Linked DNA regions of Caenorhabditis elegans. The protein of the gene in region 2 purifies or fractionates together with the protein of the main gene of each other region. This does not show direct contact. Each region holds a gene or a part of one and is shown on either strand. Other genes may lie near its edges.

What was found.
Region 1: the proteins of nspg-7.2 (region 2) and ani-3 fractionate together in Caenorhabditis elegans (co-fractionation; one large-scale study listed by BioGRID). This does not show direct contact.

What each region holds. Positions count from the first base shown.
Region 1 is NC_003283.11:19,691,892-19,709,963, forward strand, and holds ani-3 (Anillin-like protein 3), read left to right. Parts: upstream 1-5,840; 5' UTR 5,841-5,891; coding exon 5,892-5,951; intron 5,952-6,009; coding exon 6,010-6,187; intron 6,188-7,122; coding exon 7,123-7,435; intron 7,436-8,251; coding exon 8,252-8,627; intron 8,628-9,190; coding exon 9,191-9,542; intron 9,543-10,153; coding exon 10,154-10,329; intron 10,330-10,841; coding exon 10,842-10,926; intron 10,927-11,015; coding exon 11,016-11,283; intron 11,284-11,735; coding exon 11,736-11,972; intron 11,973-13,048; coding exon 13,049-13,133; 3' UTR 13,134-13,321; downstream 13,322-18,072. Other genes in the region: Multidrug resistance protein mrp-7, read left to right, coding at 754-877; Y43F8C.13 (Nucleoside hydrolase), read right to left, coding at 2,097-2,195, 2,658-2,860, 3,305-3,505, 3,711-3,832, 4,606-4,966, 5,465-5,495; srv-3 (Serpentine receptor class gamma), read right to left, coding at 14,394-14,448, 15,003-15,357, 16,166-16,532, 16,900-17,058; Y43F8C.15 (DUF281 domain-containing protein), read right to left, coding at 17,884-18,040.
Region 2 is NC_003281.10:3,250,382-3,264,907, forward strand, and holds nspg-7.2 (DUF19 domain-containing protein), read right to left. Parts: upstream 8,026-14,526; 5' UTR 8,015-8,025; coding exon 7,734-8,014; intron 6,966-7,733; coding exon 6,868-6,965; intron 6,813-6,867; coding exon 6,753-6,812; intron 6,700-6,752; coding exon 6,594-6,699; intron 6,545-6,593; coding exon 6,484-6,544; intron 6,433-6,483; coding exon 6,349-6,432; 3' UTR 6,308-6,348; downstream 1-6,307. Other genes in the region: Y53G8AL.4 (Apple domain-containing protein), read right to left, coding at 136-157; Y53G8AL.3 (CUB domain-containing protein), read right to left, coding at 1,080-1,253, 1,577-1,786, 2,052-2,123, 2,170-2,235, 2,583-2,666, 2,709-2,762; Y53G8AM.4 (RING-type domain-containing protein), read right to left, coding at 3,645-3,885, 4,186-4,559, 4,613-4,722, 5,034-5,238; Y53G8AM.6 (uncharacterized protein), read right to left, coding at 8,950-9,043, 9,093-9,352, 9,399-9,410; Y53G8AM.7 (RING-type domain-containing protein), read right to left, coding at 10,757-10,824, 11,064-11,248, 13,305-13,708, 14,322-14,420.

The DNA.
Region 1 (18,072 bases), on a different chromosome or scaffold from region 2:
AACTCGAAAAATTAACCAAAAACTGACTGAAAACCGTGGAAATCGTAATTTTCGACATAAAAATTCGCCTTAAGATGCTTGAAATTCAAAGAAATTGACTTTAATTTTGATTTATCGATTTTTCTAGCAAAATCGAATTTTATCGATTTTTTAAAAATCGAAGATTGTTAAATTTATTGACTTTTTAAAAATTAGCATCGAAATTGAAACAAATAATTTTTTCAATTTTTATGAAAAATCGATAAATCTAAAAATTTTTTTGCGATTTATCGATTTCCCAAAAAATCGATAATTTTACTTCTTTAAAAAAAATCAAAAATTGAAAAAAAAATACTGATTTTTTTCGATTTTACCCCAAACTGCCTGAAGAAGTCCGTAAAAATCGCAATTTTCTACCAAAATTTTGTCTGAAAATGTCTGAAATTCTGATAAATTGAATTTAATTTCTTTGATTTATCGATTTTTTCTATTGAAATCGAATTTTTACGATTTATTGATTTAATAAAGTGGCTAAAAATGGAAATTTTTGTCTGAAAGTCAATAAAATTTTCAGAAAATGAATTAAAATCGAAATTTTTTTTGGAAAATATTTTAAAATCTTCAAAAAATTCCGCTGATATTGGGATTTTTTACCCAAAAAACTGGAATTTTTTGAAAAAAAAATTTTTTTTTGTTGGTATTCCCGATGAATATTCCAACGCAAACCCCCACATTTTACCTTTCATAAAACCCCGAAAAATCCCAAATTTCCAGAATAATGGTGCTCGATAAGGGTTCAATTCTGGAATTCGACACACCGGACGCCCTAATGGCCGACAAGAACAGCGCCTTCGCAAAAATGGTCGCCGACGCTGCGGAACAGGACAAACACGAGTGAAATTGACACAAATTGACACCCAAAAATTAATATTTTCAAAGCTTTAATTCATATTTATCCCCCAATTTTTACCCCCGAAAATTCCCGAAAAATGCTCAATTTTTTGGAAATTTCACGAAAAGTTTCACTTCTCACACAAAATGAAACCGGTGCTCTCCCTTTTTTTCTCTTTCAACTCATATTTTATTACCTATTACCCATTTTTTGTTGAAATTGTGTGATTTTTAGCCGTTTTCTGTTAAGTAGAAGAACAATAAATTGATTTTTTCGCGAAAAACATAGTATATTGCTAGATTTTCGACTATTTTGAGGGCCAACTAACTCTGTAAAAATTATTGACACTAGCGGGGACTCGAACCTAGGACCTATTTCACCATAGCCGTCCATGTACCCAGTTGAGCCACTTCCATCCTTTTTCAGAAATGCTGACTAAGGCTGGAATTTGAGTTTTTTATATATGTAGAATTTTACTAGAAACTAGGAAACTACATTTCCGGCTGGTTTGGAGCACCGGGAGCAGCTAGGAGCTCCGTGAGCAATTTTAGAAGTGAAATTCGAAAATTTCAAAATTTTTGATATGGGGGTCAAATCGATGCAGAATTTTACGCTGAACAACATTTCAGTTGGCAACTTTTTGATAACTCTTCTAGTTTTTCAGTTATTTGCGATTTAGTCGGAAAACTATTTGAAAAACCTGAAATTTGCGAAATTCAGCTGAAATTTCTGATGTTCTCCATTAAAACATCTGCCTGCATGTTGCATTACCCTGGAAAAATTATTGACACTAGCGGGGACTCGAACCCCTGGCTTTTTTCACCATAGCCGTCCATCTACCCAGTTGAGCCACTTTCACCATTTTTCAAAAATGCTGGCTAAAGCTGGAATTTAGGTGTCCCTGGTGTAGAATTTCACGGTTATTTTGAATATCAGATTTTCAGCCAGTTTGGTTCACCGGGAGCAGGTAGGAGCTCCGCGAGCAGTTTTAGGTGTCAAATTCGAAAATTACAAAATATTCTAAATGGGGGTCAATTCGGTGCAGAATTTTACGCTGAACAACATTTCAGTTGACACTTTTTTGATATCTACTCTAGTTTTCGAGTTATGCTTCGAAAAAGTCATAATTTTCATTAAAAAATAACTTTTTATTGCAAATTTCAACACACACACACACACACCATAAATAAGAGCAATAAATGTGACATTTTACAGTTTTAAAGAGTTAATCGAATTTTCCACTTCCAGAAGTGGCTGCATGAAGCCACTTGTCCACAGTATGAACGTCGTAAGAGGTGACGAATTTGACACGGCGATGGGTGTGCTGAAAATTGGTTTATTAAACAAAAAATTGATAATATCTAGATTTTGGACTGTCTGAGTGTTGTATATCTATTGTATATAACATTAAAAATACTAATAAACCCAAAGGGATTCGAACCCCTGACCTATTTCACAATAGCCTCATCAATCTACCCACCTGAGCCACTTCGCCCCATTTTCAAAATTGCTGGCTAAGGCTGGAATTCAACCGTACCTGATGTAGAATACTACGGGGAACCCAAAAATCATGTTTTAAATAAGTTTGGAACACCATGAGCAGCTAAAAGCTCCGTGAGCAATTTTGGGTATCGACCTTGAAAATTTGAAAATTTTTTATATGGGGGTCAAATCGATGCAGAATTTCACGCTGAACAACATTTCAGTTGGCAACTTTTTGATAACTCTTCTAGTTTCCGAGTTATGCCTCAAAAACTATACAGAACCCCAGATTTTTTGTTTTCACCTGATTCGGAGCTTCCTCATTCGACCACAGTTGCTCGGTCCAATCAACCACAACCTGCCCACGTGTCTTTGTTCCATTCAGCTCTACATCGACATACAGGTACTGAGACTTTTTTGCAATTTTATCCTCATCGATTGCAGTAGCCACAGCGATCTCGTCGCAGTAGGAGTATTGGCGGCCGTTGGCCTCGCATTTTACGCGGCCTGGAACATACAAATCGAATTTAGGAACTCTAAAAAAAAAATGTACTTGTTGACTAATCTACAGACCTTCGAACTCTAAAAAAATTATTGACACACTAGCGGGGCCTCGAGAAGCCCGGACCTATTTCACCAAAGCCGTACATGTACCCAGTTGAGCCACTTCGACCCCTTTACAAAACTGCTGGCTAAGGCTGGAAGTTGAGTTTTCTGGGTGTAGGATTTTGCGGGTTATCCGAAAAACGAAATTTCAATACGTTTGAAGCATTGGGAAAGGCTAGGAGCTCCGCGAGCAATTTTAAGTGTCAAATTCGAAAATTTGAAAATTATCGACATGGGGGTCAAATCAATGCAGAATTTTACGCTGAACAACTTTCCAATTGACAGTTTTTTTTTGGTATCTAGTATCTACCCTAGTTTTCGAGTTATAACTTTAAAAAACCTTACCAATGCTGGTGGCCAGCGATAAGTAATTAGCCAATGGGGTTCCATACTTCAAATGAGCCGAAAAATCAACTGAAGCATCATGGGTCTTTGATTCAAAATAGAATGCCTCCCATGGAACAATGGTGATGGGACACTTCATACGTCGGAGCACAATGCTCGCGGCTTCCGGGTCTCCGTGGAAGTTGTACTCGGCTGAGGAACCTGGAAAAATTAGGGGGGCTTTTTGGGGTTTGACGGGTCTGTATCTCCGTCGGTTTTGGGTTTGTCAACAAATTGTTAACTGATGAAATGTTTGTTACATGTTTCTGAACAGGTTTATAGTTGAAACTTTTCTAATATCTCAAAAATGAAACGAGATATGGCCCGCCAAAGTGGTCCACCCTAGTTTTTTTTTTGAAGAACCTACCTCCATCAACATTTCCGACCGCGTAATAATTTCCTCCCATGATTACCAGCCGGGATGGGTACGTCGAAAACTCCTCGCAGAGTTGGAGAGCAATCGCCACGTTTGTGAGGGGACCGATGGTTCTGAAAAATGGTTTTGTTGAAAATTTAGGGAAAATTGAGCAAAAATAGATTAAAATCGAAATTTGACACCCAGAATAGCTCGGCGTAGGCGAAAATGTAGGAGGACTGTATGGATACTGTAGGAGTACCGTAGGACTTTAAAAGGGTAATGTTGAGGTACTATAGGGGTAATGTAGGGGTACTGTAGGAGTACTGTAGGGGTACTGAAGCGGTACTGTAGGGTTTCTGTAGGGGGTCTATTGGGGTAGGGTAGGGAAACTGTCCAGGTACCAGGGATACTGTAGGGGTACTGTAGAAATACTGTAGGTATACAGTTATGGTACCATAGGGCTTTAGTGGAATTAGTGTAGGGTTACTGTAGGGTTACTGTGTGTGTACTGTGGGGGGAACAGTAGGGGTACTGTAACACTATTGTGTGAGTACCTGTTCGGTTACCAGAGGTACTGTAGGGTTATGTAGGGGATCTGTTGGGGTACTGTCGGGGTACTATAGGGTTACTGTAGAGTTGCTGTAGGGATACTGTAGTGTTACTGCAAGGGCACAGTGGGGAACTGTGGGGATACAGTAACACTACTGCGTGAATACTAGAGGGGAACTGTCCGGGGTACCAGGGATAGTGCAGGGGTACTGTGGGGTACTGTAGGGATAGTGCAGGGGTACTGTGGGGTACTGTAGGGATAGTGCAAGGGTACTGTAGGTCGCTGTGGGGGTACTGTAGGGGTACTGTAGGGATGCGGTGGGGGTACAGAAGGGTTACTGTAGCCTCAACTTACACCAAAGTGGCATCCCGATTCTCTCTCAAAATATCGATTAAAGCAAGTGACGCATGCTTCCCCTCCCCCTCAAAATCGGATCTTTCGACTTTCGGGAACTCCTCCGGCTTATCACCGATCCCATCGATCCCGAAAAAATCGGATACGGTATCATCCTTCGGCAGCGACAAAATCGATTTAGCCGCACCCTTGTACACTGGGATATTGCTCCGATCGTTGGCTCGGATGGTTCTTTTGATGTTCGCACAGGCTTGATCTACTGTCACACAGCCGTGGACTGCGGTGAATGCGAGAATTTCGGCTTTTGGGTGCTGCAAGGCTAGGGAGATGGCTCGCACGTCGTCGCTTACACCGTCAGAGTCTGAAAATCGATTAATTTTTGTTTTTAAAGCTTAAAATTTGGTAAACTTTATGTAAAACTTTAAAAATCGATAAAACTCGCTAAGCAAGCGCGCTCCAGTGAACTAGTCCGTTTTCCGACGCTAATTTCAAATTTTCAAGTGTTTTTTGACGAAAATAAGTGGAAAATTTGAAGACTTCTTGTTTTTTTTTAAATTAGAATTCTCGTTTATCATCTGAAAATCCGAAAAAATCGATTATTGAAGCGTCTAGACTCGTTTTTTTAAATCGCCAAGCAATGCAATCACGCTCCAATGACAAACTCAGTTTTCTGGCGGGAAGCTCGAATTTTCCAGTGTTTTAACGAAAATCTTCGGAATTAATACGTTTTCGGTGTATTTGAACGTAGAAAAGTAGAAATTTTAAAAAAGAAAAGAAAAAACTCGAGTTTTAACGAATTTTATAGAATTTTTTACTCAAAAATTGGTTTAAATTTGTTTTTATTCTCCGTTTAACTCACCAATGACCAGCTTAACCTTGTCCACAGTCATGTTGTCTTTTTTCTGAAGAGCGTAATGTTATTAAAGTGAAAAAATTAAACTTAAAATAACTAAATAAATATATGAATTATTTCTCGTCGCAAAAAACGCAACATTTGGGCAAAAATCAATCTGTCACCTGAATAATGCACACAATCTTATCATTTTTTATCAATTCTTATCGCATTTTCTTCGATTATTCTCGCTTTTTCGCCGTAATTCCGCATAAATGCGATAATTCGCGAAAAAACTACGGTTTTTCTTAAAGGCGCATAGCTCAAAACTTCAAATAGGTCTCGCCACGAATTCAGTGATGTGAGGGATTCGATGGAATTTTGAATTTTTAAAATCGATTTTTGCGATTTCTAGACGGTTTTTCGCCGTTTTTTCGGAGATTTTTGACGAAAAATGGAGAATTTCGACGGAAAATCGATGCCGCCAACTCCGGTGCCAATCGGATCAAGTCAGGTAGGGCAAAAATCCGGAAAAATCGATACAATTCACAAAAAATCCGAATTTTTTCCAGTTCTACCGCTGGATGCCGCACCCGATCGTCGATACACCACCGTCAGATGCTACGTGGCGCAAACCGGTGCCACGCGGCCGAATTCGTGATCTCGTCGCCGCGTTCGATCAGTGCTCCGGCATGCTGGAGCAGAAGCCCCCACCTCCGCCCACGCAAAGGGTTGAAAGTCTTGAAAATGGTGCGGAAATCAATCGATAATTGAGAAAATCGATAGGGGAATGCGAAAAAACTGGAAAAAAATGGGGAAAATTGAGAAAAATTGAGGAAAATGAGAAAAAAAAACCATTTCCCCCGGTATTTCTCCTATTCAAATGCAAATTTATAAATTCACATGTATTGTTAATTTATTTGCACTGTCAACACACCAACTATACAGTTTTTACATGGAAAATTGATTTTTTAGAAAAAACAATCGGAAAATCCCAAAAGTTTTGGGAAAAATCCAGAAAAAATGGGATTTTTCGCAAGTTTTCGGATGAAAATTATGGTTTAAATTGAATTTTGAGTGGAAATTTGCAAAATTGGACTTTTTCAGAGAAAATAGTTATAATTTGCAAAAAACTAATTTTTAGAAATTTTTTTTTCCAAAAATTCAAAAAAATTTTTTTTTTCAAAATTTTCATTTTAATTGGCAATTTACCATTGAGTTTCTGGTGAATTTCGAAAATTTTCTCTAAAAAATCCTGAAAAAACGGAAAAACCTCTGGAAAATTCTAAATTTCCAGCAAAACCACCAAAATTGTCGGATTTTGTGTTAAAATTCTGTAATTTTCGGTGGAAAAATCGCTAAAATTTAGAATTTTGTGATTTTAAGCTAATTTTAAGGAATATTGTGAAAAAAATTAAATTTTTTAAGAATTAAAAAAAATTTCAAAAAATTTTTTTTTTTTTCAAAAATTAAAAAAAAATTTTTTTTCGAAATATTCACTTTTTATTGGGAATTTTACGAATTTTGAGCGAATTTTAAAAAAATTCCAAAAAACGATAATTTTTTTGCAAAAAAAATTTTTTTTCGAAAAAAAAATTCAAGTTTTTCCAACTTTTCACATTTTTCTCAAAAATGATCTTCAAAATTCGAAATTTCCCGCCAAAAATAACCCATTTTTCTTCCAGAACACATTGCTCCACCGCCAACTTCAAAATCCTCCAAAATTCCGGAAATTCTCGCCAAAAAATCGGAAAAATACATCTCACCGTACGAAAAACGTCATTTTCATGGTCGTCGTGGCACCCAGGCTGTCGTTTTTAATTCGAATAATGCTCAAAATGCTCCAAATGTGGGCGGAGCCTATCCATATGGAGCCACACCGTTGAAATTGCGAAATTTGGCCCAAAAAATGGATAAAGAGGAGCTCTACGTGGCTGATGACGTTGGAATTTCCAAAAAATCTGAAAATTTCGAAAATTCCGATGATGACGTGGCAAAGTACGAAAATTTGCGGCAAAAATGCTATAAATTCGAAAAAAATTCAAATTTTGTAGCCATTTTTGACATTTTTCCTTTAAAAAAAAATCTAAAATGTCCAAAAAAAAGCCGCGAAATTCAAATTTTTAATTTTTTCCTATAAAAATCGAAAATTTGCAGAAATTTTTGAGGTTTTTGAGACAATTTTTTGAATTGCCCAACTTTTTTTTGTTAAAATATCGAATTTTAAGTAAAAAACTACCGAAAATTCGACTTTCTCGCCTAAGAAGGGGCGGAGCCGCGCAGGCCACGCCCACAAAATGGTTATTAGCGATTTTTCGGCAAAAATTGCGAAAAAATCAATTAAAAAAAATCAATTCGGATTTTCAGTCAAAAATTTTCTAATATTCGATATTCTTGCCTGAAAAGAGGGCGGAGCCTAACAGGCCACGCCCACCAAATGGACGGAGCTTATTTTCTAAATACTAAAAAAAAACAAAAATTACAGCAAAAAAAACAAATTGAAATTTCAAAATTTCAAAAAAAAAGAGGGCGGAGCCTAACAGGCCACGCCCACCAAATGGGTGGAGCTTGTTATCTAAATACTAAAAAAAAAAAAAAAATTTGCAGGAAAAAACACAAATTGACACTTCAAAATTTCAAAAAAAAAAAGGCGGAGCCTAACAGGCCACGCCCACAAAACGGTTATGAGCTATTTTCGCTCAAATTTTGTAATTTTCAGTCAAATGTTCCCTAAAAATCGATATTCTGGAGCCCACAAAATGGCGACGAGCATATTTTCGTCAAAAATCGGTAAAAAATCGATATTTTTTGCAGTTTCCAAGAGCTTCTGGTGCTGGATGAGGTGCTGGAAAATGCTGAAAATTCTGAAAATCTGGAATCCCAGCAGTACGACGAGGAGAGCACCCTAAACCGAACATTTCAAGATTCTGGAGTTCCAGAAAATCAGGAAAATCTTCTCCAGCTCCCTGAGTGCCCAAAAACGCCGAAATTCACGAGTTCGCCCACGCTTTTCACACCGTATGCCGCTGGAGAGCCCATCGTTGAATATCGATGCTCGTCGGGCTCCGCGGGGGGTCCACTCAAAATTGTTGTGAAGAAGCTTCAGGCACCGATTGCACTTGCCACTTCGACACCGAAACCCGCAATGTGTCGGCCGCCGAAACACTCGGAACCACCACCGGCTTTTCAGGTGGATTATATCTGAGATTTTTGGCGGGTTTTTCAGTGAAAAAATTGAGAAAATCCCCGTTTGGAAAAAAGATTTTTAGTGGTTTTTGTGAAAAATCGAATTTTTCTCAAAAATTTGGAAAAAAATCTATTGAAAAATCGATTTTTTTTTTCGAAAATTTCGTAAAAAATCCATTTTTTCGAAAAAAACCAATTCAAAATTTCAAAAAAAAAGGGTTTTCTCTCCAAATTGTAAAAAAATCGATTTTTCTTTGAAAATTTTCTTCGAAAAAAAAAAGTTTTATTATATTTCGTTTAAAAAAATCGATTTTTTATTGTAGAATTCCGTAAAAAAATGGAATTTTTCGAAAAAATCAGTGAATTGTTTTTTGTTTTTTAACGAAGAAATTTCTAAAAAAAAATCGTTTTTTTCGAGAAAAATTTCATTTAAAAATCGATAATTTTGAAAAATTTCGATTCAAAAAACGTTTTTTCAAAAAAATTTCTTTAAAAATCAATTTTTTGAACTAAAATTTTGTAAAATTTCGTAAAAAATCGATTTTTTTACATCAATTTTTTGCGCAGGATTCCTTCGTGAGCTCAATCAGTAACTGGTCGGCAGTAGATCATCACGCGACGGATTCGCGCCGTCAAATGAACCGCCTACTCAATTCAATCGATGAAACTCGACATCACATTTTGCTCGCCGAGCACTCACTACTTGAAGCCCAAAAATCGAAATGTCCAATGCAAGAACTCGCGTCGCAACGGGTTTTGCTAATTTGTAGAGAACGGTTGAAAGTTCAATTGGAAGAAGTTCGGAGGCTTCAGGCAATGACTGTTGTCAGGCATCCACCACCACCGATTAATCGACATTTTAAATCGACTATGGTCATTTCGAATATTTCGCTTCAGTTTAATAAGCATTTCCATAGTCGTACGTGGTTTTTGAGTCTAAATTCGAGATTTTTGGGCCAAAATTGACTAAAAATTTGAATTTCCCGCCAAAATTTGACTGAAAATTTGAATTTTTGAATTTCCCGCCAAAAATTGACTGAAAATTTGAATTTTTGAATTTCCCGCCAAAAATTGACTGAAAATTTGAATTTTTGAATTTCCCGCCAAAAATTGATCACATGTTCGGTAGAGCGCACTTCGAAATTCAGAATTAAATTAGCGCGCATTCTGCGTTTTTAGTTAAAAATTTGAAAAAATTTGTGGTTTTTTGACACAAAACTCCAAAACATTGAATTCCCGCCGAAAAAAAAAATTGATTTTCGGTGGAGCGCACTTGCTGCAAGTATGCTCTACCGAACATTGATCGGTTTTCAGCGGGAAATTCAAATTTCCAGTCAATTTTTGGTGGGAAATTCAAAAATTCAAATTTTCAGTCAATTTTTGGCGGGAAATTCCAAAATTCAAATTTCCAGTCAATTTTTGGCGGGAAATTCAAAAATTCAAATTTTCAGTCAATTTTTGGCGGGAAATTCCAAAATTCAAATTTCCAGTCAATTTTTGGCGGGAAATTCAAAATTTCTGTGTTTTCAGGCGGCTCTTACGCTTTCCTTGTGCTCCTCAAATGCCGTACAGAAGTCGAGGCAACCGGTGTCGTTACCCTTTTGGCTCAATTCCAAACTCCGCAAAATTTCATTCTTTTCGGTGAACACTTGCGTTTTTCCAATCTTCCCGTCGATTTTACCATTGGAATGGAGATTTATATGATGGTAATGCTTGACAACAGAAAATAAAAATTTTTGACTGTAGTGGGGGTCGAACCCCGGACTTCTGGGCCGTAGCCATACCTCTACCCAGTTGAGCCACTTGTACAAAAAATTTTTTTTTTTTCGAAAAGAAGTACCAAAGCTGAAAATCTGCGTAGAGTTCTAATTTTTGATTAAAACCGCTCAAAAAACATCGTAAAAAATCAGTTTTTGAAAATTTTAGCCAATAAAGTCAGTTTCAATCGGTTTTTACCAAGAAAAACATCGTAAAATGATTTAAAACTAATTAACCCACCACTGGAGAGTAGCAAAAAAAATTTTTGACCGCAGCGGGGATCGAACCCCGGACCTCTGGGCCAGAGTCTAACCTCTACCCCACTGAGCCACTGGTACACAAAAAAAAATTTTTTTCAAAAAAAAAGGCCCCCCGGCCTCAAATTTTTTACTGATTCTGAATTTTTAGGTGTCTTACCACACGAATAGATACAAATACCTCAAAAATCTGGAATTTTCAGCGAGTTCCCGAGCACCGACCACCTGAGAAGACGTGCGCCGCGTTTTTGGCACAAAAAGTGCGGAATTTGCTGGTGCCGAGCAATGGTAATTTGGAAATTTTATTTGTTTTAGGAAATAAGGATGAAATTCCAAAAAAAAAAAAAAAATTTTTTTTCAAAAATTTCAAATTCCAGCCGCTCACCGCCGCCCGACTACCTCCACGCCACAAAAATCGATACAAAATGCCACGTCACCTGCGTGTGACTTCCAACTTTGCGGAAATTTAACGTTGGACCGCGATTCGTCGGGCGATAACCGCCGCTTCTATTTGGATGACGTCATTTATCCGCTGGAGGGAACTGTGAAGCTCAATTCACACTGCACATCACTTCCTGATGCAATTGATATGGAATATCGAGGATTTCTTCATATTTTACACGATTCTGCAAGTCCTTTGGAGAGGTACTTGGAAATTGACTGAAAATTTGAATTCCCCGCCAAAAATTGACTAGAAATTTGAATTTCCCGCCGAAAAATGACTGAAAATTTACATTTTTGAATTTCCCGCCAAAAATTGACTGAAAATTTGAATTTTTGGAATTTCCCGCCAAAAATTGACTAAAAATTTGAATTTTTGAATTTCCCGCCAAAAATTGACTGAAAATTTGAATTTTTGGAATTTCCCGCCAAAAATTGACTAAAAATTTGAATTTTTGAATTTCCCGCCAAAATTTGACTGAAAATTTGAATTTTTGAATTTCCCGCCAAAAATTGACTGAAAATTTGAATTTTTGGAATTTCCCGCCAAACATTGACTGAAAATTTGAATTTTTGAATTTCCCGCCGAAAAGTGACTGAAAATTTGAATTTTTGAATTTCCCGCCGAAAAACCACCTAAAAATTCCAATTTTCAGAGCAAAAAAAGTCCCAATTTGGCACAAATACTGGTCACTTCTTCATCGCGGAGCCATTTTGTTCTGGAGCACTCCACAAGAGGAAGTTCACGAAAAAGTCCCAATTTTCCAGATTGATTTGACAAAATGCACGAATAATTCGATTGAGGAGAGCCGTGAAATGAGCCAAGGAGCCGAGCACGAATTTCATATCGAGTTGCTCATCGATCAGGACCCTGATTTGATTGAAAAACGACGGTAGAGCACTGAAAAAATATATGAAAAAAAATTTTGACCACCGCGTGGGGTCGAACCCGAGACCCTCTGCGCCATAGCCAAGCCTCTACCCAGTTGCACCACTTGTGCAACAAAAAAAAATTTTGAAAAAAAAAACCAATGCGTCAAATTTTGCGTAGAATTCAGTTTTTCATATGGTTTCACACGAAAATTCATCAGAATTTGAAACGTTTGTGTTGGCTTAATTTGTAAAATTTCGAAAAAAATCGATTTTTGTTAGATTTTCACCCACCTCACAACTTTCAAGTTCTAGAAAAATCACTAACAAAAAATTATGACCACCGCGGGGGTCGAACCCGAGACCCTCTGCTCCAAAGCTAAACCTCTACCCAGTTGCGCCACTTGTACACCAAATTTTTTTTTGAAAAAAAAATAGCTCGAGTGGCCATATTCGGTGTAGAATTCAGTTTTCATATGCTTTTACATAAAAATTACCAGAATTCGAAACATTTGTGGATTATTTGAAAAAAATCGACAATTTTTAGAGAAACGCTTCGAAATTCCTAGTTTCTGGTAAATTTTCATCCACCTCACAACTTTCAAGTTCTAGAAAAATCACTAACAAAAAATTATGACCACCGCTGGGGTCGAACCCGGGACCCTCTGCTCCAAAGCTAATCCTCTAACCAGTTGAGCCACTTTTGCAAAAAAAAATTTGAAAAAAGTTTTTCATATGCTTTTACAAAAAAATAACTAGAATTCGAAACATTTGTGGATTAATTTGAAAAAATTCGAAAAAAAAATTCGATATTCAAAATTCCCAATTTCTGGTAAACGTTTACCCACCTCACAACTTTCAAGTTCTGGAAAAATGTTTATAAAAAATTTTGGCCACCGCGGGGGTCGAACCCGGGACCCTCTGCGCCATAGCCCAACCTCTACCCAGTTGAGCCACTTGCACACAAATTTTTTTGTCGAAAAAATAGCTCTGGTGGTCAAATTTTGAGTAGAAATACAATTTTCGCATTGCTTTAATCAAAAATCGACGCGAAATTTGGAGAAGATTACCTTTTTTTCCAAAATCTTCAAATTTTCAGTGTAATCCTGGCCGCCGAATCGTCGGATCACTTGAATTCGTGGCTCAGCGCAATCAACGATACACTCGACATTTTGAGATCCTAAATTTAATTATTTTTTCTTTGCTAACTTCTTTGTCTGCCTACCTACCTGCCTACTTATTATATATCTGCATCATTGTTTTTTTTGTTTCGAAGAATTTGAGTTTCCCGCCTCCAATAATCATTTAATGATCTTTTTTCCTGCATTTGTTTTTTTTTTCCGAACTGTTTTCATGAATTTTTGATGTTCCGAAAATTTGTTTTTTTTTTGTTTTTAAAAATCGAAAAATATCGATTTTCTGTGAATTGAGGGTAGAAAAATTAGAAATTTAGTACTTTGCCTACCAAAAAACGAGAAATAAAAAAATTGCGCCCGCGCGGGGACTGAGCCATCCCGTCAAAATTTTTTTCAAAAAAAATTTCGCCCGACTAATATTTAGAGTAAAATTCGAATTTTTTAATTTAAAACTTTCAAAATCTCTGGAAACCCTAATTTTTTTTGAGTCTTTAAAAACAATTTTTCAAGATATTTCGGTTTTTGGATAGAAAACGTGGCAGTTTTCAGATTTATTAAATTTTTAAGCAGCAAAGTACGAACTCCATAACATCAAAACAAGATAAAAAAATTTTAACATTAGCGGGACTCGAACCCCTGACCTACTGCTCCGATGCCAAACCTCTACCCAGTTGAGCCACTTAGTCCCAAAAATTTTTCGAAAAAAAGTGGGTCTACGGTTAGAATTCCGAGTAGAACTCAAATTTTTACACAAAAATCGTTTTTAAACTCGATTTTTCCTTGATTTCCCAATATTTTCTAACATCTGGTGTTCGAGTCGGAGCTCCGCGAGCTCACAAAATGCTCAAACATTTTCTGATTATTTTTCTAATATTTCCCATTCACTTAGCCACGAGCAAATCGCCGAGCAATTGGAGCTCTGCAAAGTTTTAAAGGTAGGATTTTCCGAAATTTTCTGAAAAACCTGAAATTTTTTTTCCAGAAATGCACATTTCCAAAACCCTACCAACAGGAAAATATTGCAAAATCCTGTGAATTGCTGGAATTTCAGACTTCGCCCCTGACAAATTGCTATCTGAAACTGAAAACTCAAAGATTTCCGGTCGAATTCTTTAAAATTTTCAGAAAAATCGTTTGTGGCACCGGAAATTTCGCGAAATCAGAAATTAGTGACGTCATCGGCTTCTGGTGCGGCTCAGCGGCTCGTGGGCAATTTTTGGTTGGAAATGCGGATTTATTGAGACATATTTATAGTTGTTAGTTGAGAAATTCATAAGAAAATGAATAAAATGAATAAAGTGTTCAAATTTATAATATTCTTCCTGATACAGTACCAATTGAGCTCCCGGAAAACGAGAAATTTCTGAAAAATACGATTTTTTGGAATAAAAATTTCAAAAAAAATTTCTAATTCGTTTTTGCACAATATATAGCATTGGTTAGCTGAAAAAAAGGTAACAAAAAATTTTGACCTTCTCGGGGGTCGAACCCCGGTCCTCTGCGTCATGGCCAAAGCTCTACCCGACTGAGCCACTCTCCCACTTTTTTTTTTTTGAAAAAAACGTCTCAAGTGTCAAATTTGATGTAGAACTCAGTTTTTCTTGTATTTTTAAACAAAAATGACTATACTTCAAGAAATTCTCGACTTTTCAACTATTTTTAGGGGAACGCTTCAACATTTTCAATATCGGGTAGAATTTTACCCATCTTATATTTTTAAGTACTAGAAAATTGAGTTAAAAAGTTTTTGGCCACCTCGGGGGTCGAACCCCTGACCTTCTGCTCCATAGATAAACCTCTTCCCTACTGAGCCACCTGTATCCCAATTTGTTCTTTCAAAAAATGTCCCAGGGCTAAATTTCAACCCAAATCTAGTTTTAATATCATTTCAAGTCTCTGAGCACTCCAAACACTCACATTTTCGGTACAAACTCCTCTCGGAGCTTTCGGCTACTCAGCAACAATGACCAGCAGGATCCAATGCACATAATTTCAGTAGTAAAATACCATAAATCAGTTATCCAATCAAATATCTGCTCACCAATATAAAAATATAAAAATATACTTTTCAAAGCATTTGGGATGAATAGTACAAACGAAAAAACCGCGCATTTGAAAATTATAAATTCCGTTGAGTTTTTGAGCAATTTGCCATGTGATAAAGTTTTGGTTTTTAGAATGTAGAGTATACTGGTAAAGTATAAAGTAAAACTGACAAGAAAGCAAAAAGTAGAAATCGATAAATCCTGCAGAGCATCGAGCTTCATGAAATCTGAAAAATACATTTAAACCACTAGGTTTTTTATATTTTCAGGATATAATTGCGGATTTTTAATGAAAAAATTGGATTCTACTCAAGATTTGACCCTTGGCCACTTTTTTCAGAAAAAAAATTTAGTGAGCAAGTGGCTCAGTCGGGTACCGGTTTGGCTATGGCGCAGAGGTCCGGGGTTCGATTCCAGCTGGGGTTTAAAATTTTTGTTTTGTGTTTATTGTAAGACAAAAAAAATAAAAATTGCACGAAAATAAAAATGCACGAAAAATTGCGGGTTTTTCCGAAATAATCAAATTTTATCTTTTTTCTAATCGAAATTTGTTTTTTTGGTAATTTTAAACTGAAATTTTGGAATTCTACTGAAAATGTGAACCTTGGCCACTTTTTTCAGAAAAAAATTTAGTGAGCAAGTGGCTCAGTGGGGTAGGGGTTCTGCTATGGCGCAGAGGTCCGGAGTTCGATCCCCGCGCTGGTCAAATGTTTTTGTTTTGCTTGATTCGTGTTATTTATTATTATTTCTTTCAAAATTTTACAAGGAATCTGAAAATTTTATGGCTTCATTTTAAAAAAAGCGAAAAATCAATTTTTTCGAAATTCCCAAAATGAAACAATTTGTTACTTTTCTTTTTGGCATTTTTGAACCAAAAATTGGAATCCAACTCAAAATTTGACTCTAACAGCCTTTTTCAGAAAAAAAAAATTTGTGAGCAAGTGGCTCAGCCGGGTACAGGTTTGACTATGCCGCAGAGGTCCGGGGTTCGACCCCCACTGCGGTCAAAATTTTTTTGTTTTTTTTATAGTTTACCTGAATCTGCCCTCAGCGACAGCCCACCACTACTTGCGGCTAACAACGAGAAATTGTGATTTCCAGTATTATAAAATAAATTCGAAAATCCGACTGCTGGCACCGCCCACTCCAAAACATAGATTACTGTAATAACCATAGGGGTCCATATATGATTATGGTATTTTTGCATGAAGATTATGGTAAATCGATTGACAGCCACTACCGTATACCCAAGGAAAATTGTGTTTTTAATAGTTGTTTGCAAGAAGTATATGAATTGGGGGAGCCAGTGATTTTTCATTGGCTCCAGGAGATTATGAATTTTGTATTTTCTCGGGCGAGCTATAAGTTCTACAAATAGAAACATTGCCACGTCGGTTATTGCCTGAAATTTAAGCTTATTCGATGCAAAATCTAATTCTGAACATTTTTGCAATTGAACGTTTTTTGATATCTCTATTCGTTAAAAAGTTATGCTCGTTTGAAGTTTGATGGGTGAGGCAGTGTGGGAGGGGGAGAGACGCAGGGTGGCGCCCCGCGTCTCTCCACCTCCACAATGTCTCGCTTCCCAAAATTCAAACGCTTGTATTTCTGGAAGGAGAAGAGCTATTGAAAAATTTCCAAATAGTGAAATGTGTAAAATTTTATGCTTAACAATTTTGTAGTTAACAACTTTTCCGTATTTCGAGTGGTTTTTCTGTTTTCAGAGATTTTCTTCAAAATTGTGCTTCAATTGTCCAGAAAAAACTTACATGCAACTTAACAATGAGAAAAAACGACGATTTGAACTCCATATGCCTCCTAACTTGCAGAATGTATAAAATCCGTACATAAACTATCATAGACGTCCAGCAAATCACCAGAAACACTAAATGGCTATAGGGAACAAGTTCAAAGCTTATTACAATCATTTTTGGAGGAGAAAGTTGAGCAAATAGTAGTTATTTTGAAGATTTGAGTCAAGGCGAGCGGAATTTCACCTGACAATGAAGCAGGTGAAATTTTTGCTCAAGAAGTTTGAGGTTTGACTCTTTTCTGACGTTTTTTGTTATAGCTTTATAAGACTCGACTTCTCAAAAAAAAGTTATGGCGGCTCAAAAATGGCCTAAAATTAGTTAAGTTGACCAACTTGTCATTGTCGCAGCGGCTGGAAACTAATTTTTTTGAAATCACCGTCCAATTATTGGTATACATGTTAATTATCTTGCGTTTCAAGCCCGATCTAAGTACATTCAAGGTCGATGGATCATCAAAATTTACTAAATTTTACCAAAAGTGAGCCAACAAAGCTTCCTGTGGACAAGAGGTTTATACAGGTTTACTGCGGGTGTTTATATGTACCTTTTCTAGTCAAAATTTAAGCCGTACCGGGACTAGCAGTATGGTCGATTTACCTTTCGTGACCCCGAAAGTGTCGGTCGCTTCCAAGTAACTACCTTTTCGCACTACGTTGCGCACACACCAAGCTACTCACTTAACGCCAAGCTGCGGAACCCCGAATGTGTCGGCCGCTCTAACTAACTACCTTTCGCACTTCATTGCATACTCACAGCGGCGTGACGCCCGCATGTCGCACTTCACTCATCAGGGATGCTGCGCCCGAGATTTTCGGTAACCGGCAATTACCAAAATTGCCGAACCCCAAAAATTTTGGCAACCGGCAATTTGGTGGCAAATGTGACTTTTGGTAATTGATAAAAACTGTTCATTGAAGTAAAGTCCGTGAACTTTCAAAATTATGGCCGACGGGCACGACACCCCCCAGCGTGACGAATTGGTTTCGGCTCCACAGTAGTTGTCTCGTCCTTCCTAGGATCAGGTTTGAACGTGTATAATAATGCAGGAGGCCCACCACCCGAAACACATCTATTAGAGCATGCAGGTCTGACTTGTCTGAAAAAATAATCAGCAATTTTGATGCATGA
Region 2 (14,526 bases):
CGAAACATAATTGAAAAAAAAAACGGTTTTCTGCTAAAAACCATGCGTGGCCTAACTTTTCTGGATTTTCTAGGCCACTGAGCCCGAATATGGGGTTTCTAGGCCACGTGGGTCCTGAATCCAACAATAACTTACATAAGTGGTTTAATCCGTTCATTTTAGATGAAAAATAGTAGAAAATTTCGGAAAAATCTTTTGGAAAAAAAATTTCCGAAACAAAAATTTTTTTGTTTAGAAAATTTTTTTTTCCAACAAATTTCCAAATTTAGCAAATAGGTCTTATTCCATTTAAAGGTCCCCTATATATATCGTGTTGCGCGGGAGAGGTGTCATTCGATACAATACGACGTAATTTCCTCTTCCAAAGAGGCGAATTTGTGTCCTCTTCCGCCCAGTTTTCTGAGATTTTGCACGATTTTGGGCGGTTTTTTTTGGGATTTTTGCATTTTTCAGCCGGAAGCTTGCGCTAGACGCGATTTTTGATTACTCACGGGATGGTTTTAGGGGTATATTGTAGTTTTTAGCAGGGGTAGGCATGGGCCCCTTTCACTGGGGATTGGTGACGTCATAGGGGCTTGAAGGCGTGAAGGAGCGAAAAAATTGATTAAGAGGGTATTTTTGAAAAGAGTAATTGGAAATAGTGGAAATTTGAAAAAATTTCACGGTATAAGTTATCTAAAAAAAATTTTTTTGGACATTTTTAAAAATTTTTTCCAAACTTTTTTATACTTTTTTCTCACAGAAAAATCAGTTAATACATCCTTTCCTGTTACAATAAAATTCTAATTTCCTAAAACAAAACTCAAAAATCTCAAAATTCAGACTTCGAACCTAGTTATCTCCCGATACATGCGTTTTAAGTTAGCGGTGACGAGAGAGTGTGGGGAGGGGAGACGCAGGCGGCGCGCGCGCTCTCGTCGTCTGCGTCTCTCCCCCTTCTCTTTCTCTCTCTCTTCGCCAAGTTCAAACGCCCGTATCTCATTAACGGTTGGAGATATCAAAAAACTTTAAATTGTAAAAAAGTTGAGCATGGAATTTTACATTTGATAATTAACACAATTATGGATTTTTGCGATTTTTTACAATAATATTTGATCGAACAAAGTTTCAATATAAAGCCCATTCGAATAGTTTTTGGAATCCCAGCAAATAGTGAAGAAAATTGAGTTCACATCTTCATACTTGAAATCCAGGCAGTCAGATGTGTCGGTGGAGCACGAGTTTTGTAGGGCAGCGTCTAGGAGGACGGCTCTCTGGAATAAGCATAACTCCGCGGAAAATCTTGATTTTCAAAAATGTTCAACTAACAATTTGTAGTGCTTAAAATTTTACACATTTTTATATTTGACAACTTTTTGATAGCTATTATTTCCGCGGAGTTATGCGCCTTTAATGATAAGAATTTGAGCTACTCCTTCTGAGCGCGTCTAGTTTAAAAGCGCATAACTCCTTGGAAAAAATAGCTATTAAAAAGTTTTCAATTAACAAAATGTAGAAAATTTTAAGGGCTATATTTCTTTAGTTTACAAATTTCTGATATCTCTCCTCACAAAAAAGTTATCAGCTATTTTCTTACCGAGGTCCCATCAAACTGCACCACGAAAACATTCAAACTCGGGCTCAACTTCAAGAAATCCTCTATTTGAGTTGAATACTGCTCTCTGGTTATATACGTAATTGCCTTAAAAGTCATAATCTTCGAGTAATCTTGAGCTGCTAGATCCTCCTGGTTACGGTAGGTAAGGGATTGTCCGATAAAGGGGTAGGTGAGGCAGGCGCCGGTGACCTGAAATTGTAGATTTTGAAATTTGGAGTATTTTGTTAGTTGGAAATTTTTTTTTTCATGGGAACGAAGATACATAGAGTTAAAGTTGGAAGTGACGAGAGTGGATGCGAGGGGGAGACGCAGACAGCGCGCGCACTCTCGTCGTCTGCGTCTCCCCCTCTCTCCTCTCCAACTTTAAACCTCTGTATCTCGGTTCCCAGCAGAGGTATCAAAAAACTTCCAACTACAAAACTGATCAGTATAAAATTCTACGCCCGAAACTAACAAAAGATTTTTGGAAACTCATGCTAGTTGTCTTCCTATTTGCTCCGCACTGCTCGGATTTGGAGGTTTCGATCTGAAAATCTGTTTCTGTGTCCGGAATGAAAAAATTTCCAACTCACAGTAGTTGTAGGCATGACAGTGGATGTGGTGGGGCAGGTTAAATTAAAGTTGAACACTGTTTTTGTCTGGAAAAATTCCAAGAATTTCAGAGTTAGGAAAACATTTTCAACTAAAAAAAATGTAGATCTTAAAATTTTACACATTTTGTCTGTTGAAAACTTTTCGATTGCTCTAACCAGTGCAAAGTTACAGAGGTTTCAAGATAAGAGTGGTGAGAGAGTGGAGGGGGAGAGGAGACGCAGACAGCGCGCGCACTCTCGCACTCTCCCCTCACCCCACACTCTTTTGACGCCTAAACTATAAACACTTGTATCTTCCTAACGGTTAGAGATATCAGAAAATTTTCAACTGCAAAAATAATCAGCAGAACATTTTGCGTCGTATGAGCTGACGAAACAAATTCCAAACTCACTGGTGTAGTAGTTGCAGGAACTTCAGTGGTCGAAGAACTAGTGGTGTCCAAACATGAAAGTTGGAAGGAATAGATGGAATCTGGCTGAAAATTTGAGCTTTTTTTGAGTTTTGTAAGGCTTCTCACCAAAAAATTCGCTTGGGAAAATCCAATTATTGTCAAAAATAGGATATTTCGCATGTTTTTAGAGGGAAGAAGCCCAAAAAGCGAATAATGACAAATGAAATTGGAAACGAATTCAAAAATGAAATGATGATGAGCTGCCACTTCACTAGGCAACGAGAAAAAATCGCTCTGCGGAGCATGGAAATTTATATTATAATATAGTTTTTTGTAGTTTCTGAACTTTTTTCATAGGAAAACTAAAAAATTCTGCAAAAATTTGTAGCGGCCGACACCTCACAGGTTCTGCAAAAATAAAGAAGCGTATATGGATTTTAAATTGGCCAATATTTTCCTAGCCATTGAGGGTGGCTTACTTTTTATTTGATTTTTTTTAAAAACACGCCAATTGATAGAAAAAAATATGCTGATTAGTTTTGCAGTTGAAAATTTTTCAATACCTCTCACCGTTCAAGAGATACACACGTTTAAAGTTAAGGTGAGGAGAGTGTGTGGGGAGAGGGGAGACGCAGGGTGCGCGCTCTGCCCGCACTCTCCCCTTCCCCCACACTCTCTCAACGTCTTAACTTCAAACGTCTGTATCTCCTGAACGGAGAGAGGTATCAAAAAACTTTCAACTGCAAAAATGATCAGCATATTTTTCTCTATCCATTGCAATAAAAATGAAATTTACTCAGTGGGTACCCCAAACCGTTTTTCATTTTTCAAATCGCCACAAGTTTATTCCTGTGTTTGGACTCTCCCTCCCGAGAATTCTTTGAACTAATTGTTTTGTACTGATAAGCTTCATCTGAAACATTTTGTGCACGAACCACAAACTGATAAGCTATCAGTATTGTTCCTCAATTTTATTTTCTAAAGTCTATAAGCCATTCCTTATCAGTCAAATGCCATTTTATTTTCCATTACAGTTTATTAATCTCAAAAACAAACTAAAAATTAATGTTTCCTATCATCCATCGCCTCCAGCACCGCAAAATTCTTCCTAATACTTCCAAACGTTCGCTGGCCACAAAAAACACAAAAATACTTTGTAGAATATTCCGATTTCTTCTTCAAAATTGTGTTACAGCATTCATCGCAATACGTGTGGCCGCATGCAAACAAGAAGCGAGGCACACTTTTGGTGTCGTTTTCTGAGTACTTCTTAAGACAGATGCGACAGTAGGCTCCGCAAGTTCTGGAAAAATGTAGAACTTAAAATTTGAAGCATTTTGTTAGTTGGAAGCCTTTTGATATCTCTACCTAGCGCGGAGATATAGCGGTTTGAAGTTAGGATGTGAGAGTGTGTGGGGGAGGGGGAGAGTGCGGGCAGAGCGCGCACCCTGCGTCTCCCCTCCCTCCACACTCTCTCACCGCTCGCAACTTTAAACGTTTGTATCTCCTAAACGGTAAGAGGTATTAAAAAACTTTCAACTGCAAAAATGATCAGCATATTTTTCTCTATCCAAAGCCATGTATTTTTTCACAAAAAACTTACTCAGTAGGTACTCCATCTAGGAAAATATTGGGCAGCTTGAAATTCATATACTTATTGAAGAACTCCGACGCAAGGGATCCTTGTTTAAACCTTTTCCAGGCGTAAAATATTTTCTTGAAAAATAGTAGGGAAAAAGTAATAGCCAAGTAGAAAATAAGAGAATTGACCATATAAAAAGAGATTACGTTAAAATTCAAATTGATCAGAAATATTAGCGCCAGGACGAAATTCAAACAGTTAAGTATTGGAACAAACCAGCCACGAAAAAAAGCACGGTATTTGTGGTACTTGTAACTTGTGATGTATACGTGGAAGCAGCCGAATTGTAGAATTGAGGATACACAGTTCAGGGCGACAAATAAGATGTAGAAAATCTGGAAATTTTGCCGCTTGAACCCCAAAACTCCTTTAAAAAAATTAAAAATACCGATGCACCATATCCAAATAAAAAGTAAACTTGTGGAGCAAATCGTGCAAATGTTAGCATACCGTTAGCTGTCGAGAATGTCCATACCAGAATTCGACGGGAGCTGTGATCTAAAGAATGTTGTGTAAAATTTTTTGCTGATTATTTTTGCAGTTGATAGTTTTTTGATATCTCTCACCGTTCAGGAGATACAGGCGTTTGAAGTTGAGCAAGGTGAGAGAGTGTGGAGGGAGGGGAGACGCAGACAGCGCGCGCACGCTGCGTCTCCCCTCCACTCACAGTCTCTCAGCGCCCTAACTTTGAACGTCTTTATCTCCTAAACGGTGAGAGGTATCAAAAAATTTCCAACTGCAAATTTGATCAGCGGAAAATTTTACATGTCATGGCCGTTAGATTTTTTAAAAATATTCGTAAACCCCACCTGCTCTCTCCACAAACTCGAAATAAAGCCAATACAGAATATTAGAGTACACACAGAATCCGTAAAAGTACACCAAAAACCAGATTTCATTCAAATATTCAAAATTGTCGTGGAAAATCGAAGAAATTGGGAGAAAAGTTGTGATAATCCCGCAGAAATGAAGTGCAATGATAAGTGTGACAGTTATGCACGAGTCGGCCGACATTTTCGTACTTTTAGGGTAACCGGATAGCCTTTGATTAGGAAAAAGGTTTAAGATGCCGTGGAGGAATGAGAGAAACAAAAGTGGGTTGCCAGGGGTAACCCACGGGGGGCTCCGGTGATCCTTTTATACTTGAGTTCAAAGACGGGATTAATGGAAGTGAGAAATTGAAAACTTTCATCAACCGAGAAATTGTGCTTATTAGGCGGAAATTGAGCAATTCGTATAAAATTTTGAACTTTTTTTTGGCAACATTTTGATAGCTTTGCTCAGTGAGGAGCTATGAGAGTTTGAAGTTTAGAGAGCTCGTGGAGACGCAGAAAGCGAGGACATTATTCTAAAAGTTTTAAGGTTATGTTTGTTTAAAATGGTTCCAACTTTATTTTAACCTATGTAAAATTTTACGTTGAACAATTTTGCAGTTGGATATTTTTTGATAGCTCAACCGTGAAAAAAGTTATGAGCGTTTAAAGTGTAGGCTACCGAGAGAGCGGAAGGTGAGGGGAGACGCAGACAGCGGGCGCACTCTCGTTGTCTGCGTCTCTCCCCGTTTGCTAGAACAACGTGTATCTCTAGAACAGCAAGAGATGTCATTGAACTTTCAATTGAAAAAATGATTACCATAATGATGCGTGTCTATTGTATTCAGTTTTGAGGATTTTGTTTGATGTTTTTTAATTTCAAAATTTAGGCGCTGAATTTGTTTGAAGTTTTGAAATTTTTAACTCATCCTACGCAAAATTTCACGTTGAATATTTTTGCAGTTGAAAATTTTTCGATAGCTCTAACCAGCGCGGAGTTATGTGTCTTTGAAGTTTAGGCTACCGAGAGTGCGGGAGGTGCGGGGAGACGCAGACAGCGCGCGCGCTCTCGTTGCCTGCGTCTCCCTCCAGTACACACTGTCTTGGCGCAGAAGGAAACGCAGACACACTCTCGTTGTCTGCGTCTCTTCCTGCTATAACGTTTTTTTTCATTCAAAATGTTTTTTTTTCAAGTTTCAATTGCCCTGAAGCAAGTTCCTTTAGTGTGCGGAGCCTAAGGTCACCCCCTTTTTTTGGTTCTCGAAAAAAAATGCTCAAAAAATTTATTCCAGAAGATCTTAATTCAAAAAATTTAATCCTTGTCCAAAAGGCACTTCAGTCCGGAGCACGAGGTGTCAAAAGCCGAATTGAAATTCTTGCATCCGTAGTGTCCAGCCTGAAATTTTGTAGTTTGTAGTATTTGTAGTCTCCACTAGAAGTAACATACGTTGGCTCCGCAAGTAGCGTGATAAGCATTACTCAAGCAGGCTCCGGCTTGTTCGACGGCTCTGGAAGTTTTTTGAATTCAAAAATTTGAAATCAATTTTTTTAGCTTACGGGCAGTAGTTGGAGGTAGAAACTGCTGAATTGAAGGTTTGAGTGCAGGCTTTATAGGAATCGGAGGATGGGAAATCCTTAAGACAGCTCCAGTGATTGATTACTTCTGGAATTTTCTCGAAGATTTAAGAAAAAAATCCAAAAAATTTTAATACAAACCACGATAACCGCCGCTGCACATCCACTCGAGTCCGCGGAAGGTTTTGACGTAGTCGAAGGCTGGAAAATTTTCAGGTAGGTGTAGGTAGGCACAAACCAATTTGCCAAAATTTACCATTTCCCAAGTCAGAATTTGATTGTCCGGCGAGATATTCAAGATTGATACACGAGTAGTAGCTGCTTCCCAGGCACTGGTAGAATTGAGTGCGGACGCTGGAAAAAACGGGGGATTCAAATTTCTGAGAAAATGATTGGCGGGAAATTCGAATTTTTTTTCATAAAAATTCGGCGGGAAGTTCAAATTTTCTGAGAAATAAGTTTGCCTGGAAATTCGAATTTTTTGGGAAAAATTTTGGCTTCAAAATTTTTGCGAAAACTTCTAAAAAGCTCTAAATCTATCGAAAAATTTCTGGAAATATTTAAAAAAATTTTTTTTAATTTTGGAAAAATCTAGGATCCTCGGAAATGCGCCGAAACTACGGAAAACTTATAGAAACTTCTAAAAAGTTTTGCTGGTCTCTGGGAAATTCTGAAAAATTCTGGAAATTTCTAGAGAAATCTGGAAGCATTCGGAATTTTCTAGAAGCTTAGGAAAACTTTAGGAGATGGTATAACTGTTAAGGCCTCTAGTTTTTGAGATACATTTACTGAAAAGTCTGGAAAAATTTCCAAAAGCCAACTATACTTAAAAGTTACTATGCTTTTCAGTCTTAAACTATATATATATATATAGGAGATGACAGGTGGTGTCAGGTTGTCAAATCACGGGTTGATCTACAAGAAATGCGGGAATTTTCTGATGCAGAATCAGTTCAGAACTGTCCAAGTTCCCGCGATTCTCGTAGATCAAACCGAAATGGGGCACTCTGAAAACACGTATTCGCATGGTTAAGAACGTGCTGACGTCACTTTTTTTTCGGAAAAAAATCCCGCATTTTTTGTAGGTCATTGTTTTGTAGATTTTCAAATAATCCAACTCACTTGCAAACTTTCATGAGCTCAGTCACATTCATATCCAAATACGACTCCACAGCTTCGAAAAATGATGATCCATCACGCCAAGTAATTGCGTCGTCGATTCCGAGGAAAGTGTTGAATTGGTTCTGGCAATAGTTCAGCTGAATATTTTGGCACGTATTGCTCTTTCGAGTTTCCTTGGTTGCAATTGTTTGGATAACATCACTTGGAAGGGTGTACGGTAGGAGGAAGGCAGCCTGAGAGATGCCTACGGCCACAAGAAGAACAAGTGCTACACAACGCATACTGAAAGTTGAATAATTGGAAAAAGCCAAGTATACCTAAAAATATATCTAATTTCAAAATCGGAGTCCATTTTATAACAAAAGCTCCAGAAATCATCTTCCCCGAAATAATAGGCTACGGAGAGAAACCTAGTCGACGAGAAAACCGTGACAATCAATTTTTTGATCGCTTGGTTCACACGACCACACCTGCTCCGGTCGTTTGTAAACTTTGTCCGTAATTTGTTAAAGATAAGACGTGATATATTTGAACTGGCGAAACTTCTTTCGTCATTTGACTCAAAAACCATTATACATCACGATTGACTTGTGACTCACAGATTATGAATGTTGTAGCATTGTCATAATGAATCTTATAGGTATTTGGGCTTCTATGGGAGGCAGGCGTGGTTTATGGGCCTGACGCCTGCCTCCAACCTGCCTGCCTTTTGCCTCATTCCTGCACTATGGCGAGAAGTCAAAGACTTGGTGTTTACACCAGGGGTGAGCGACAAATGATTTTTTTGGCAAACGGCAAATTGGAAAATTGCCGAATTTGCCAGAAAAACGGAAATTGCCGAACATTTTCAGAACTTCAATTTTAATCAGCAGCCAATTTGAGTCTAAAAAAACAAAGTCCCAGCTTTCCGAACTGTGCAATGTTTAAAACTTAGAGTTGAAACCTAAACCGCTGAAATTTCCACCATCATACATACAAATCAATTTCTCGGATTTTCTATTCAGATCCGACTAATTTATTCAATTCTATACATATCAATAAAGTTCAAAAGTAGAATAAGACAGCCGGAAGAGAATATCGAAAAAATGCGAACCGGCGAGTCAATTGAGCTGGGCTTCGTAGTGGAATCTGGCTGAAGCTTCTTCTGATCCTTTTGATCAACTGACTTCGGAACATCTTGAGAAGGCTTGAGAGTAGTGGTAGTAGGGGCACCCAGTCAACAGAGACCATCGTTGTTGTAACGATCAGAGTCACAAGCTGATCCAGGAAGTCCGGTGGTTATGTTGCTGAGCCAACCAGCAGCGGGGTAACTAAAGTTTTATCGAGTTAGATGCATAAATCAAGCGCTAAAAAACTTACTATGGACTAAAAAAACACTTTAAGGTATCATTTTTACAATTAATTGCGTCATTCTCCTCACACTTATATCGACATCCAATTGTTTTTTGTAATGAATCAGTGAACATAATGTCAACTAAAAACCAGCCAGCACAAAGAAAGAAGGGCCCAGTGATCTTCTCTACAAACTTTTCCAAATCCTTCTCAGCCGGCAGTAGTTTATCGAAAGAAACTAGATTTTCAAAGTTGAAAACGTTATAATAGGAAGCATGAACGAATACCTACAATTAATGTAACATCAGTATTTGAAATTCCTTTTTCACTTGCCATTTCATTCATGTTTGATATTAGGTCTCCAAATAAGTTCCGGGTCAAAATTGATAACTTTGTTCGCTGCGTATCGATTTTTATGAAACTGTGGGAATTTATGTTATCAACCATGATCTTTCATTTGACAATAGTCACAAAAATTTTTGACCGTCCGAAGTGCCCTAACTCGGAGCCAATTTTTTCAGACATTTTTCAGATCTCGCTTCTTTTCATTTTTCAATTGAGGTTTGTGTGCGGATCTTGCTCAGTTTAGTACACAATGTAAGAAAACAAAAAAAGTTTGGAAAAAAATACGTCCAAAAAAATTTTTTTTCGTCGGTCGTCAAAAAATCTTCAGAAAAATTTTTTTCCGAAAATTCTTGATTTTTTATACAAAAATGATGTAACCAAGTGCAAACTATTTTTACACATACAAAACATTTCAATTTAGTGCGTCACACTGAAATAATAACAGAAAACATAGCTTTTTTGAAATATTTTTGAGTTTTTGGAGTATTTATCGAGATCCAAATGTTAAACTTAAATGTTGTGTACGTGTAAAAATAGTTTGCACATGGTTACATCATTTTTGTATAAAAAATCAAGAATTTTCGGCAAAATTTTTTGAAGATTTTTTGACGACCGACGAAAAAAAATTTTTTGGACGGATTTTTTTCCAAACTTTTTTTGTTTTCTTACATTGTGTACTAAACTTAGCAAAATCCGCACACAAACCTCAATTGAAACCTGAAAAGAAGCGAGATCTGAAAAATGTCTGAAAAAATTGGCTCCGAGTTAGGGCACTTGGGGTGGTCAAAAAATTTTGTGACTATTGTCAAATGAAAGATCATGGTTGATAACATAAATTCCCACAGTTTCATGAAAATCGATACGCAGCGAACAAAGTTATGAGTTTTGACCCGGAACTTATTTGGAGACCTAATACGTTCATCCTCTTCGCAACTCGTCGACGATGTTCATTCAGTTGCAGAATAAAACCCGTTCAACTCCTGGTCAAGCTCGTTTTGCGACATGTTTGCTGCAATCTTTGATCCAGCAATTGCATAGCAGGTAAAATCCACAAAGAGTAGAACGATAGAAAGGAATTTAACGGCTCCCATGTTTGAAAAAATTTCAAATTGACGGAGTGCGAAGGAACTGGAACTTCTTGTAAACGTGGAATAGAATTGTACTTTACGTGTTTAAGAAGTCACGTATTTTAATTAATTATTTTTTGTTTTTATCAAACATTTAAAATTAAAAAACTCAAGAAAAACGTCAAGTGTGAAATAAATTTTTTGTTAAATATTAGTTTTATTCGCAAAAACTTAAAAAAAAAATCACATGAATTGAAATTTTCGGCCTCAAATCCGCCACTAACTCAGCTCACAGTAGTACACCATTTCCATAATTGCATAGTTTTTCGGGAGTCGGTCGCTTTTTTCTGAAAATTGTGAAATTCTGGAAAAATCGATTTTTTGACTTTTTATAACATTTCAAAACTTTCTTCTTGAAAGTCCGTTAAAAGTTAATAAAGTTTTAGATTTTTTTAACTTTGAAAAGTTTCAATGTACTATTTTTTCCCAAAATAAAATCTATTTTTCTTTCACTAACTATTTTTCATTATTTTTCCTTAAAAAAACACCGCAAAAAATCTATATTTATCGTTTTTCCCATACCTACCTTTTACACTAGTATGCTGGCGGCACAATGGGCACAAAATATGATCAACCGATACTTTCAGCAAATTATCACAACATTCTTCGCATATTGTGTGTCCACAGCGAATTAATATTCTCGGTGTTCGTTTTTTGTCCTTATCCGAATAAGGGAGCACACAAATTTTGCACTCTGGCGCTCTGGAGGAGCTGAAAAATTAAAAAAAATTTTTTTTTTTTTTTAATTGACGAGATCAGAAATTTGCAAGTTTGAGTGAAATTTGAAAGTAATTTTTCAAATTATTTGATAAGATTCTTTTAAATTTTTGTAGAAGCTAGTCTATTTGTTAATTTTGAGCAATTTTCAACAATTCAAAATTATCAAGAGCAACAGTTTTTAATCAAGTTTTTGTAACTTTAAGTGGAGCCAAGAGAGGGGCGGAGCTTAACAAAAGCGGTAGCTTCTTTGAAAATTTTAGAATAATTTATATTCAGTTTCAGAAAAATATTTCATAAAAAATCCCAAAATTTTTGAGAAAAAAATGTTCTGAAAATTTTTTTTTAGAAATTATTCAAGAAAGTGGCGGAGCCTAAAACTGAAGTGTGGCTTATTTCAAAACTTTAGAATAAATTATTTTCAGTCTCAGAATAATATTTCAAAAGAAAATACCCAAATGTTTGAAAAAAATGTTCTGAAAAAATTAACACAAAGAGGTGGCCAAGGCGTGGCTTATTTTCAAAATTTTAATTAAAAATTTTTAATTTTTGATCAATTTGCAAAAATTCATTGCTCAGCAAAACATTTGTTTTTAAATAAAATTTTTGGAATTTGGAGTGAAGCCAAGATAGGAGCCTAGCCTAAAAATGGGCGTGGTTTATTGATTTTCAGTCAAAATTAATTTCAAGTTGAACAAATTTTTTTTATCAGGTCGTCCCATAAGTTTTTGTACTTTTTTTCGAATTATTCCCAAAACTTTTTCGGACAATTCTAAGATTTTATATTAGTGGTAGCATGTCACCAACTTGTCACCTTATTGCAACATAACTCTGGCATCCCAGGCCCCCGCGGTTGTTTAGAAAAACGAGTAACTATAGAATCAGCTTTTTACACCATTCCTTCTGGAGTTTGTTCTACACCACCCAGAGCTTAAAGTAATGGTTAATATATACTGTCAAGTAGATGCTTCCACACTCTTGTTTTAAATAATTTTAAATTTAGTATAACTATTCCGGAAAAACTACTGTAGCTAAACACAATTGTTGAGGCCAATTAAATATGGCGCCCGAGTTTTTGATTCCTGTGAAGCCGCTGGGAATGGAACGGGTGCATCGTGTATGTTTACGATAAGTGCACATCATGTGCAGTCAAAATTTAAAAAAAATTTAATTTTTTCAGTCATGGGGAGATGTTATAATTGAGAACTTTGTAACCACACTATTTTGTACTTTTTAACAATTGCCTATAGGAGTGATTGAAGCATATATTGGTCCATTTAGTCCTCGGAATGAAAGATAGATAATTAAGTCTAGTGTTATTTAGAAGTGGATATATGTATCATAAATAAATTAACAAACTTTACTGGTGGCCTCTTCGTTCAAACAATCTACATGGCCAACCTCATGTGATACCCGACATTTATAGTGTTGGGCTTCTAATTTATGATTGAGAAATCAGCAAGTAAAACGAAGTTTGTATTTGTACTATGCAAGTATTGTTATATAAAATTAGAAACAACAATCAAAATAATCCCATCACTTTTAGTGAGAAATTATTCCATGAAGATGTTCACTCAGTGCTTGATAAACATGAGCCAAATAGTCCACGTCCAAAACGGCTAATAAGTGCTAATGATAATTTTAACCATACTGAACATGTATTTTGAATCATTATCTTTACTAATACTATGTTTTCATGTTCATTGATAAATTCCCTGTGAATAGCAGGACGAAGGAAAACACCTCCCATTATTTGGGTATGTCGCTATTTGTGGCTCTGGTTTCCGTGATTGTTATCAGGAGGATATTGAAATAACGCATCAAAATTTTGACAAGTAGTACATACTATACATGCGCATTTATAAAAGATTCGATTTTGTTCTGTCAGTTTAGAACTTGTTCAAAAAGTTTTAAAAAAGTACAAAAACTTATGGGACGACCTGATAAATCTCAAGTTTTCCAACAAAAAACTCCTTTTTTAAAAATCTAAATTTTGGTCCTTTCAGTGGGGCCAATAAAGGGGCGGAGCTTAACAGGGGACGTGGCTTACCTTGTATCATTTCCGAGAGCGGCAGGTGGTCCAGTTTCCACTGAGCTTACAGTAATCACTTGCTCAACTCGCGGAGCTTTCTTCACACCTTTTCCGCAAATTTGGACGAATTTGAAGAAAATCTTGGCGACGAAATATCCGAAGAGCAATGGGATTACAGTAAGCAGACCGCATGACACGTAGAACCACGTCGATTCGCTTATTGATTTATTGATTTTTTGGATGAAAAAGGCGGCGACGACGAGATCGATGAGATTGAGAGTGATTGTGGTGATTAGGGTGACGAGGATTATGGTGAGACGGATTTTGAAACGGAAAATGTCTTCGATGAGGAGATTCCCGAAGCAAATTGAGATGGAGAGGGCGGATGAGGTGTTGAATATTATCATTGGGATGTAGATTATCTGAAAATTGATTTTTTTTTAAAACTAAAATCCCTAAAAATATGAGATACAGACTTAATCGATGTTTGGTAAACTTTGACGGCTCAGATCTCAGCCGATTTTCAAGATTTTTTATAAATTTTTGTTGCAGAAATATAGAAAAATTCATAACAATTATATTCTTAGTTGACAACTTTTAGATGCATATAATCGATAAGCTGTCAAAGTCTAATTAAATGCCGATGCACCATGTTTAAAACACGCTAATCTTTGTCAGTGTGTATCTTAGTGTATTTTTAAGATTTTTATAAACTTTTTATTGCAAAAATGTAGAAAAATAGATGTCAAATATGTTTTTTTGTCAGTGCTGGAGCAAATTTTGCCAGTGCTGGAACAAAATTTGTCAGTGCTGGAGCGTTTATTAGGCAGGCGGAGGTCGCCTTAAGGTCAGGCAGGCGGCTTTTTAACGCCTTTAGATATACAGTGCATTTTTCCATTTCTACGACTTTAAAGGGGGCACATTTATGCATAATTTTTGGCAGTTTTTTGTTGAAATGAAATAAATAGGTTGGATGCACCATGTTTAATATTACAACTTTTTATAGCTTTTCCTTTTTGAAAATTATTCACTAACCTGTACATCAAACCCATCCAGACATAGCATGACAATTTGGGGTACAAATCTTAACAGTGTGACTATGGCTAGAAGTATGTTGTAGATCCACCAGCAAACCTGGAAAAATATAGAATTTTATCAGTATACTATATTTTACTAGTACATAGTCTTGCACATAAATTGTTGATGCACCAAGTTCGAAAACTAGGCAAATTTTGATAGC